Linked DNA regions of Oryzias latipes. The protein of the gene in region 1 binds, or shares a complex with, the protein of each later gene. Links are inferred from orthologs where the notes say so. Each region holds a gene or a part of one and is shown in the gene's direction. Other genes may lie near its edges.

The links.
Region 2: trappc8 (region 1) and trappc11 share a complex: the UniProt entries of both Homo sapiens proteins name them as parts of the multisubunit TRAPP (transport protein particle) complex. The link is inferred for Oryzias latipes from reciprocal best matches to the Homo sapiens genes TRAPPC8 and TRAPPC11.

Annotation. Positions count from the first base shown.
Region 1 is NC_019862.2:1,548,157-1,553,531, forward strand, and holds part of trappc8 (trafficking protein particle complex subunit 8), read left to right. Parts: intron 1-2,637; coding exon 2,638-2,734; intron 2,735-3,732; coding exon 3,733-3,801; intron 3,802-3,881; coding exon 3,882-3,940; intron 3,941-4,421; coding exon 4,422-4,619; intron 4,620-5,375. UniProt on the Homo sapiens protein: Plays a role in endoplasmic reticulum to Golgi apparatus trafficking at a very early stage. Maintains together with TBC1D14 the cycling pool of ATG9 required for initiation of autophagy. Involved in collagen secretion.
Region 2 is NC_019868.2:27,372,200-27,377,574, forward strand, and holds part of trappc11 (trafficking protein particle complex subunit 11), read left to right. Parts: intron 1-1,812; coding exon 1,813-1,883; intron 1,884-1,965; coding exon 1,966-2,080; intron 2,081-2,160; coding exon 2,161-2,260; intron 2,261-2,330; coding exon 2,331-2,404; intron 2,405-3,599; coding exon 3,600-3,696; intron 3,697-4,244; coding exon 4,245-4,378; intron 4,379-5,110; coding exon 5,111-5,252; intron 5,253-5,375. UniProt on the Homo sapiens protein: Involved in endoplasmic reticulum to Golgi apparatus trafficking at a very early stage.

The DNA of each region.
Region 1 (5,375 bases):
GTGTTTTGTTTCTTTATTCAAATTTGGTGGGAAAAACAAGAACAAAGGCTGACCAAATAGATAGAGAATTATAAAATGGATTAAGTTATACAATCTTTAAATATCTTAAGACAAATACTTTTATTACTAATCATTGTATACAATCCTTTTCTTAGTACATATTAAATTAGTTTAACTTTACAGGGGGGTATTCCAGGAAGCATGTTTAAACTAGCCTGACTTTAAGCCTGAACTCTGGCTGAAGTCCGCCTGAACTTGCTTACTCTGGGTATGTCGGTTCCAAAAGACCGGATATGAGTTGGCGTAATTACGCTCGACTTGGTAACCCTGGGTTAACGCACGGTACATAAAGACATTCTCAATAGATCGCCGATTTCTGGAGTCGCCATGGAAACGCGTGGAGAGAAAAAAAGAAAGCGCTATACTTCAGTGAGACGGAGTGTGAGCTTTTAATGACGGCGGATAAAGATTATAAGTCCATCAAAAAAGTGACACGGCTGAAAAATAATTTAAATAATTAAGTTAAATTTATTCAAACTCAATAATTGTTTATACAACTCAAATTTATGTATTTATCTAACTAAATGTCACATTACTCCATTAATCTTTTTTCCATCTTAATTACTTATATTTCTTGAACTCACATATTTTTAAGTTTGAGCCGGCAGATATGCTCATTTTTATAAAAATAAAAAGAACGGGAAAAAATGCACGGAGTGCAAAAATTCATTAAAGAATTTTCCTTCACTGTAATAATCATTGTAGTTGGTAGGGGTGCTATATAAACTCATCATCCTATCCTTTACTCTCACTCATGGTGCAGAGACGTAAGCATAGTAGGACAAAATAGCTCGGCAAAACACGGTGAAACACAGTAAAACAGCTAAACAACTAAACACATTTTGTAAAAAAGCCACACTTAAACCCAAATCCGTCCAGACAGGCAAAGGGAATGATATCCCAGAATCCCTTGCGGTGCCGATCTAACAGCAGCATCAAAGTTACACCTACTTAATTGAATTAATTTGAACGAAAGGAAAATAATTGTCTGAAAACTACGTGTTATTTTTAAGGTGACCTAACAAAAAATGATTTATCTTAACTGAAGCAAATAATTAAGTTAGATCAAAGTAAAAAAGTTTATCTTTCCAACATCCATATGTGGTCTTATCACCCTCTCATGGTGGAAAAAGTATTATCTGAGCTTCTTCATCCACTAAATCATCTTCAAATGGACACGCCATGCTGCTTCACCTCTCTGTAAACAAACTAACCTTCAACTAAACCTGCTCCGGACCAGGTTATGTTCAGAGCATGAGTTGCTATGGCAACTTGACATACCCTGAAACATACCTCCATTTCTGGAACCGAAAGCTGAGGTTATCAACTTCCTTAGCCTCAAACTTATCGTGGGAGCTAGCATAACCTGCTCTCTGGAATACCCCCCAGACTGCACTGATTGTTTTTTTCCCTGTTATTAACTACCAGGCCTAGCATAGACTGTAGAAACAATGGATGAATCGAAGGGTGACGTCACCCATAGAAATTGCCTTACCTCCAGCTCTTGTGAAATGAGGCTAAATCTCTCACCAATACTTCCTGATACGGACGCCGCAATGTTGAAACCAGTTGTCAGTGATTGGTCCGAGTTGTTTTGAGTCATAGCTCAGTCATCGTGAGCGTGTTGTGAGTGCTTACCTCTTTCCACGCCTCCACCTCTTCAACGCAGGTCATTAGCTCCGTTTTCATTACACATATGCTCCAAACGTTATGGAAACTCTAGAAATGTCAAAAAGAAAACACAATTTCGCTATTACACACAAACCAACTCATGGGATGACTGAGTAGAGATAAATTTCCAAGAAATGGAGGCTTTCATAAGGCATAATAAGCTGTGAATGAGAACATCAAATTCACAAAAATTCAAAGTCATTTCTGCAATAGTTGCTGTCATATCTATTGTATTTTTGTCTATATTACACTGGCAACATGTAAGGTGTAATGTGAGGGTCGTGCTTATTGTCTGTCGAAATTCCTTCAGCAGAGTTTGGTAACAGTGCAGGACTTCTTCAGGGTTTGTAACTACAAGAAAAATCACAATACAAGCTCAAATGAACATAAAAAGGATGACGACTTTTATGAAGTACAAAATATATGAAAAATATGAAGTACCACAAAAGACACCTTTGCACAACATGTAAATACCCAGTAAGTATATTATAAATACCCAGTATGTAACACATAAGTATGTACCAAATAGTACCACTTAAATACACTGCAAGTACCATGTAAGTACCAAGAAGACACAAAAAATACCATGTAGGTACCCAGTAAATTCCATAAAAAGTCCCATATAAATACCCTGAAAGTACCCAATAGTTACACAATAAGTACCATGTAAATACCACTTACATTTTGGGCTTGATCCTCTGGTACAACAGAAAATGCTGTATAGCTGTGGCCCAAAGATGGTGCAGAGCAGCCAGGGAGCAATGGGGTGCTGAAAGTTAAGCAATCAGTAAATCCTTAAGAGCCTTCAGTTTCACCAATCCACCACCAATCCATCTGAGTGCAACTGCTATCAGATCATACTGCCGATAATAATACTGTGGTGCTGTCTCTTCTGCCTCCTCACAGAGTGAAGGAGGCATGCGGGAGTTTCACATTGTCCAGGTGTCCAGCAGCAGTCAGCGCTGGCGCCTTCACAAGTACATCAACCCTGACAAGGACAATGGTGCGTCTGCACACACCTTATGCCAGCAAGTCTATAAACTTTGGGGAGTGCTAGCACACCTGAGAGCTGCAGAGCGAGCGACCATTACGACTATTTCAGCTTTCTAATGTTCCAGAATACCACTTTCACCTGAAAGTCACCAGAACGACCTGCACCAAGATGTTGTGATTTGGTTATAATTGTAAGCAGGGCTCCAAATTAACTTCTTTTGTTACTAGTCAAATTAGACTTCTAGTAGCCAAACATTTCTCTGTAAAAATAATGGATGTATTTGAAAGCAGAACTGTTCTTCCCTTCATTTATAAAGTTTCAGTTGATGATTATTCTCTTACAAAAACAAACACTAATAATAATTGAAAGTGTCATCTTAATTTAGAGCCACGATGCTTTGTATCTAGATACTTGAAGGTGAAGCAAATGTAAGTTAGCTAAACCTTCGCTTTGCAAATGGGCTTTGCAATGATGAAGATTCAGTTCATTTCATGAATAGATGCTCAGAACGGCTTAGGTTTTGGTTAATGTTGAACCCTGCTACGTTTGACCTTTGTCACAGAGGGGTTGGTATTTGATAAATATGTGGAAGATTCACTTCTAACTCTACATGGAGCCACCATTACTGAAAATCATACATGGGGATCCAATCTGGTGTCTGCCTTTTCCACATTCTTCCTGAGATCCAGAGCTCAAGCACATGTGTCTTAAGTGAGTGCACTATCACTGCTGGAGAGCACTGGGGTGTGATGTCATTGTACTTAGCAGCACATCATTTTTGACTCTCCTCTGTATGGTAATGGATACCAGACTAACACCACAGCATGTGAAGCTCCTCCTGTCAAGCTTTAGACGAAGCAGTTTGAGCTTCACACCAAACCTCTATCTTAATTTCTGCATCCGTGGATTTGTGGGGACCGGTAGAAAGGAAGTCTTATTGTCATGGCTCCACTACATCCCCTAGTGCAGGGCTCCCAGTCTCAGCATGTGTTCTTCATCTCCCATAGACTGTAAGCTGAGCAGCAGAGAGAAGGCCAAGCTTTGCTTCAGAGCCACGCCATGTGCCCCCCTCCCAGGTAGGCACTGTTACCCGTCAGGGTGTACTCCTGGCTGTACGGTAGCCTTCAGGCTCACAAGTATCTTCTGGTTTTTCCAGCTTCCATGGACTCTGTGGAGAAATACATCTTTGCAGATCTGAATCTTGGAAATGAACAGGTACATGTTTTACTTTAGAATAATCCCAGCACACACCTGCTGCAGAACAACCTTTGCTTTATGGAAGTCATTCATCAGTAAAGAGTAACACCAGCTTCCTCTACAACCCTGTGGCTAAAGATGCATTTTGCCTTAATTTTTAATAGATTGACTATTGAATGGTGAGGAGCATGTTTGCAATGCTTATGATGTCTGAAGTCTAAAGTCGAATTTCCCAAATGCACATGCAAATGCGTGCATGCACGCAAACATGCATGCACGCATTATGTCTTGTGTGCAGTTTATTTGGACTTGTGTAGTGTTGTTTCCAGGACTGCCTTGTTTCTCAAAGAAACAAATTAAACATTTCTGCTGGTGTCAAAGGTCAGGGTCCTCCCCCAGGACAGTGACTGCACACAATGGAGGCTCACATGGTGCTTACAGTCGGTCAGGAGATGATTCATGTGCTGGAGTCTTAGCCGTCCTCTCTGTCTCCATGCAGATCATCAGCTCCTCCACCCCCTGCAGAGATTTCTTCTTTCGCTGCTGTCGAGGCCTTGAGCTTCAGCAAGGAGAGAAGACATCCAGGATGGGGTCCAAAAACAAAACTGTCTCTACGCCTGACAACTGTACCTCTGATCCTGCAGCCATTGCTAAGAAATGCAATGAGCTGGATCTAACCATCATCGTCATCTGGAAGGTAGGTCTTTTCCAGACAAAAACTCTAGATGTTATGACATAGTGCTTGGCAATAAGTTGATTTTTATCAAGTCATTCAAATTTGTTGTTTTAGAGCAGGGGTGGGCAGGCGGGGGCGCGCAGAGGGAAAGGCAGTGACACTGTGACAACACTTAGTACTTGATCTGTCCTCTGTTTGCATCCTTGGGATTTGTGACAATCTCCTCTCACAATGAGCTTTTCCCCCTATGGGATCATGAGGAAATGGTCCAATCACGAAGCACTGCTGCTGTGACCCCGCCCACCTCTAAAAATGCTGACACTTTTCTGCATCAGCCATCATGAACGGGTGATTTAAATTCATGCGCATTGTAGGAAAAAAACGCTGTGAAATGAAAACGTGAGATTGGCCCACCTGTCAGCTGAGATGAAGGGTGGGCTGATGGGAGCGAGGAAGGCGAGCGCATGTGTGACGGGAACAGCTAAGCTGATCTGTGAGCTGCTTAGCAGTTTTTTGGTGATGTCTTTGAGGTCACAGCAGCCAACATTTATAAAGTTATAAGTTTAGTTTGTTGAATTTACTCAGGCTCTGTCTCATCATCTAAGTCAGTGTTTTTCAACCAGTGTGCCGTGGCACACTAGTGTGCCGTGGGAGATGGTCAAGTGTGCCGTGGGAAATTGCCCTCATTAACTGATCTAAAAGCATTTCCCATCTCCAGGAAATCAGCTCTTTGTTCATCCAAACAGGTCCTGATAAAACACTGAGTAGTTAGGAATA
Region 2 (5,375 bases), on another chromosome or scaffold:
TTGTTTGTCCTGTGGGTGGCGCTATCTTGGGAACCTAACATGTAAAATATCTGTAACTATGAGGCTGTGGTAGAATAAATTAGCTTTATTGTCATTGCACAAGTACAATGACAAATGGTTTTCGATTGCTGTCACCAAGTTAAATAATATGTCCTGTTGACCTAAAGAAATATTAGTTTTACTTGCAATGATGGACGAATCCGAGAATCTTTCTGCTGTGAAGAAAACGGCGTTTCGTCCGCAGAAGGCATCAACCGTTCCAAGACGCCAGTCCAACGCAAAAACGACAGGAGTGCAAAAACCATTTCCCCCTCAGACCAACGCACAACCAAAATACTTTTAGCTTTACTCACTACACGCTTTATCCACAGACTTGAACATTTTCACACTTTTCTCTCTTCTTTAAACTCTCAGAGGTCAAACCTTCATAGAAAAATAAGTCCAGGATTGTAAAATTTGAAGAGCTGCATGCATTCTGTACAGGAGACATGGCGTGGAGGAGGTTGATTGACAGTGGTCTAAAACGTATGTACAAAGTCTGGCCCGTGGGCCAAACGCAGCCCGCATTCAAGTTTCTACCGGCCCGCAGGCTCCTACCATAGAATCAATCATATCTGGCCCCCAGGACTTTGTAAGATTTGCAGTTCTTGGATGTGTTTGGCCAAATTACAGTATTTTCCGGACTATAAGTCGCCCTTTTTTTCATAGTTTGGCAAGGGGTGTGACTTGTACTCCGGAGCGACTTATAGTCCGGAAAATACAGTATGTAATAAGTCGTTGTAAACATGTGGCAACAACCTGTGGTTGCTAGATCTTAAGGGCCAAACAAGAAAAACAGATTTGTTTTTTTCTGCGGTCAAAATGGGATCACTTTTTTGTGTTACTCACTTGTCCACATGCTTTAAATGTAAAAGTTGACCGTGAGCTTCAGTCGATAATGTGTAACTTATCACATGAGCCCAGATTTTACATTGACTTTTTGTTTTCCAGACAGACTTTTTTCTTTATTTTACTTCTGGCTCACAAATTAAAAACTGCATTTTTGGTAAAAATGAATTCAGATCTATTCTGCTCTATGGGAAGAAATGAAAAGTATCCCTTTGTTAAAAAAAACCCCTAAATAGTTCATTTAGATTTCATGTTATACGAGCTCACACAAAACGGGCTGAATGGTCGATCGGCCCTCACACACTAAATTTGACCCTCTTTGCAAAATGTTTGGACACCTTCGGTCTACAGCCAATCAGGATGCAGAACCCACTGCACTGTAAATAAAATATAAAACTAAAACCATGCAAAATTGCACTAAATAATAGCAAAAACGGTGAACCACGGTAGAGTAAGGCAACACTGTAGTTTAATAAAAATTGTCCTCATTAGAGTACTTTCACTCAAGTAGATGTGACGACAAACCAGTATTCTGACTTAGTTGCATTGGTTTTTAATCTGTCTAATTTACTCTTTTTGTTTTAAACTTTTGTATTATTAGTTGTAGCAATACACAATGAAATGTCTGCGCTAATAGCTAAACATTGGCATGAATCATTGTAAAATAATTCGGCTTTAACTGTAAAACCCCAGTGAAGACTTCAATGCAGCAGACTTTCATAGGGTTGGGGTGTGGAGGGATGCTCAGATCCCAGAGGGAAACAGCGGCTGTCATTTTTGTGACATATGACCTTTACAATTTGGTTTAAATGGTGCATTAGTGAACTGTTGTTGCACTCACTGCTTAGCAGTGTGCAGCCAAGAACATCACCAACCAAACAATTGAAGTTAAACGTGGAGTTGATGGCTTTTGTTTGCCTGTAGGACCAGTCTGCAGGGCCGGAACGCCAAGGTGGCCGTGGTTTTAATCCAAAAGAAAACTCCTTTACCTCCAGGTAAGGCCTGGATATCATTTCACAGTGTTTTCTATGGCTTTTAAGGTGAAGCCAAATGTTTATCCTGATTTGTTTTGTGCAGGTGAGGACCTGGTAGCATCAGAGAGAGCACAAGCTCTGTGCACCGCCTGTGATTTGTCCGGCAAGAGCCTCTTCGTTCTGCCGCACACCGACCATTTAGTGGGCTACATTATCAGGTACCTGTCCCAACCGAAAGGGTCTTGGTTTGATAGATAAATGCAGAAACATGACCTGACGCTGCCTTTTGATGATGAAGGTTGGAAAATGCCTTCTATGAGCACGCTCAGACGTACTACTACACAGAGATCCGTCGGGTAAAGTCACACAAGGAGTTCCTCAACAAAACAACGCACCAGGTGTGAACTGTTGACCGAAAAATAATTTCACCTGAACTTCTACCGAAACCAACCGCTTTGTCTGTTCCAGCTCCTGTTTGTCAGGCACCAGTTTAAAATCGCCTTCTTCAGCGAGCTCAAGCAGGACACCCAGAATGCTCTGAAGTGAGTGTGAGCCGAGGGATCTGTGTGGACGTGGAGAACAACAACTGTCACACGCTTTCAGTCACGACATGCAGCCACTGAATCCGTCCATTCACACAGCTGTTTATTCGCTGCTGTTTGTGTCATATAAAGAATCTTTCTACGGCTTAACTCCTTCACATATGTAGTAACATCCACATCTGATCTGGATTCTGGATCATAGGTCACAGAAGTCTGTCTAGCTGTCAGTGAAATTTCTTCTGTCTAATCCAGCTCTTTAACCAGAGAGGTTTTGGGATTAGAACCCAAAACCTACCAGTCCCGGGGCGGACACTCTACCACTAAACCACAATCCTCATAATCTCCTTATTAATGCTTTTCTAAATTACGTTAGTTTCACTGACGGTTCATTTTGTTTCATTTACAGGCTCCGGTTTATTTAAACTAATTGACCCACAACAAATGAAAATGCTGTTTTTGATGTTTTTAACAGGTTCTTGTGGCATTTTTCTCATGATGGAGGACATTTAGAAGGAAAATTCATCTTAAAATAGCTTCTTCTTTTTTTTTTTCCAAATGAAATTTTAGCGAATCAGGAACAGACCAAAAAAATGCAGTTTGGAAGTTTGGTTTGTTGCGTAGAAAATATGCCAGGCGGGCCACAAGCTCAGGAACGGGGAGTGGATGGGGGGCGGGATGGCTCCGAGCCAGTGGTCCCGCCCACAACTCGGTGGCGAATTTCTAATGAACTCCTGCCGCTATGCTGAAAATATATTCTAGAAATCAACAGTTCTTGGCTAAAAATAGCATAATCCTAATTAAAAGACCACTGGAAACGCTTTGAAAATAGATCAGAAGATGATCGGAGTGGAACTTTAAACCAAAGTGAAACCAGACCTCTGATGCTGTTTTTGAGGTTATTCCAACTGTTTTAATTTTTAGTTTAACGTGGTGTCATATGGCAGTAATAAAAAAAAATATATATATATATTTGTTCTGAAGCCAAAGTTGCTCATTTAAAAAGACGGTTCAAGACTGGAAAAGCAGCACTGAGAAGACACAAGGAAGGCGTTTTCATTTCAGGTTCTCATAAAAACCCCAAAACAGTCAAATCTCAAAAATAAAATTCACAGCATAACATAGCTGGGAGTTAATGTTCATCCTCACCAAGTCTTTGCCACTTTGTGATTGACTTCTGTAACTGTTGTGGCTGCAGATACTACAGAACGGCGTACAGTCTGGTTCATGAGCTCAGGGCGCATGAGACCAACATGCTGGAGATCAAAACCATGGCTGGATTCATCAACTATAAGGTAAATCGTCTGCGGGGTTGGCATTGGTTTAAAAGAAAAAGGGCAACTTTAGCCCTATGGGATAAGTGTATCTTTAGGGTTAGGGGTTAAGGGTTAGGGTTAGGGGTTAGTTTCTATGGCGACCACCATCTCCAATCAGGAGTGAGATTGTTGGAAGTCAACACCCCTTCCACTTGAAAGTGGGCAACACCAAATCATTCTAACTCTTCGAATACTGGCCGAAGGGATCAGCAGGCTCCGCCTACTGATTGGCCTGTTTATGATTTGAAAAATTTGAGCTACAGAAAAAAAAATCAAATAAAAAAAAATGGTGATTATCAAGGATAATGTAAAAAAAAATGATCAGAGCAAGAATTGTTATTCTGACCAATAGAATGACGGAGAAATAGCTGTCACAAGATTTTGGCTTCATGGAGCCAGCGGGTACTTCCTGTTTAGAGAACGCCTGGGCCCAGGGGGTCACTCAGTCCAGTTCCCATATACAGTCAGTGATGAAGGCTTCACCAGTCTGACCCCATTTCCTTTCCCCCTCTGTGTTTGTGTTGCAGATCTGCCGCCTGTGTTTCCAGCACAACACTCCTCTGGATGCTATAGCTCAGTTCAGGAAACACATGGACCAGTGCAAGAAGAAGATCGGCTGTGCCGAGCTGGCCTTCGAGCACTCTGCCTGGATGTCCAAACAGTAAGAAGAAAACACTGGCTACACAGTGGGGAAAGTCTGCGCTTTAACTCCACAGTGTTCTTTCAACCACCGCAACTCTTCAACCGTTCATGCAATGAACGCCATTCTGAAGCAGAGGAGAGCACCGATGTTCAACACTTAACACCACCACTGTGTTAGTAATGTGTTGCAGATCAGTGCAAAGCTGACATGAAAAGCCACTTTATTCTTCAGCGTCAGAATCAGCCGATTCACCTTCATCGCATAAACGGTCGAAGAGTTCCAATAGACTGTGTGTTAACCGTGTTAAAGGGTTATTTTGAAGTGATCAAAGTAAAACGGTTGTGCAATTTTTTAGCGGCGGGAATCATTAAATATTAGTGTGCAAGATTTAGTTTCACTTGTTAATTGGATGCATCATTTTGGAGAAAGCATCAGATTACTGTTGAACCAGACGGATGGATGGCATCTTTAATTCAATAGCAGCCAGATGCTAGCATTGAGCAACACTTGCACATAGAAAAAATTGAGTAAAAACACAAGAAAACATTCAAAAATTGAAATTCGATGAGTTTTTCTTATGCTCTGTCGTGGAGTTTTACTGTCAAACAGTATTAGCAATTTTAAAAAAAATCAGAATTTTGGCTTCAAGATCGTTTTCTGAGCGTTTTTGTTCAGTGTTTTCCTTTACATCTACTCTCTTCTAAGGATTTCTGAGATCTTGACCGACTCCTGCACTTTATTTCCCACCAGGTTCCAGTCGTTTGGTGAGCTGTTCGACGAGGCCATAAAGCTGGGTCTGACAGCCATCCAGACCCAGAACCCTGGTTTCTACTACCAGCAGGCTGCCTGTTACACTCAGGACAGGAAGCAGCTGGCTCACCAGCTCTGTCAGGTGACGCGTTTACCCACAAAAACAAGCACTTCCTGTGTCACGATCATATTATAAATGAGCTGCAAACGCATCATAAATTCAGCCTTAGAATGTAGATTTTGTACGGAGATGTCGCAACACTTT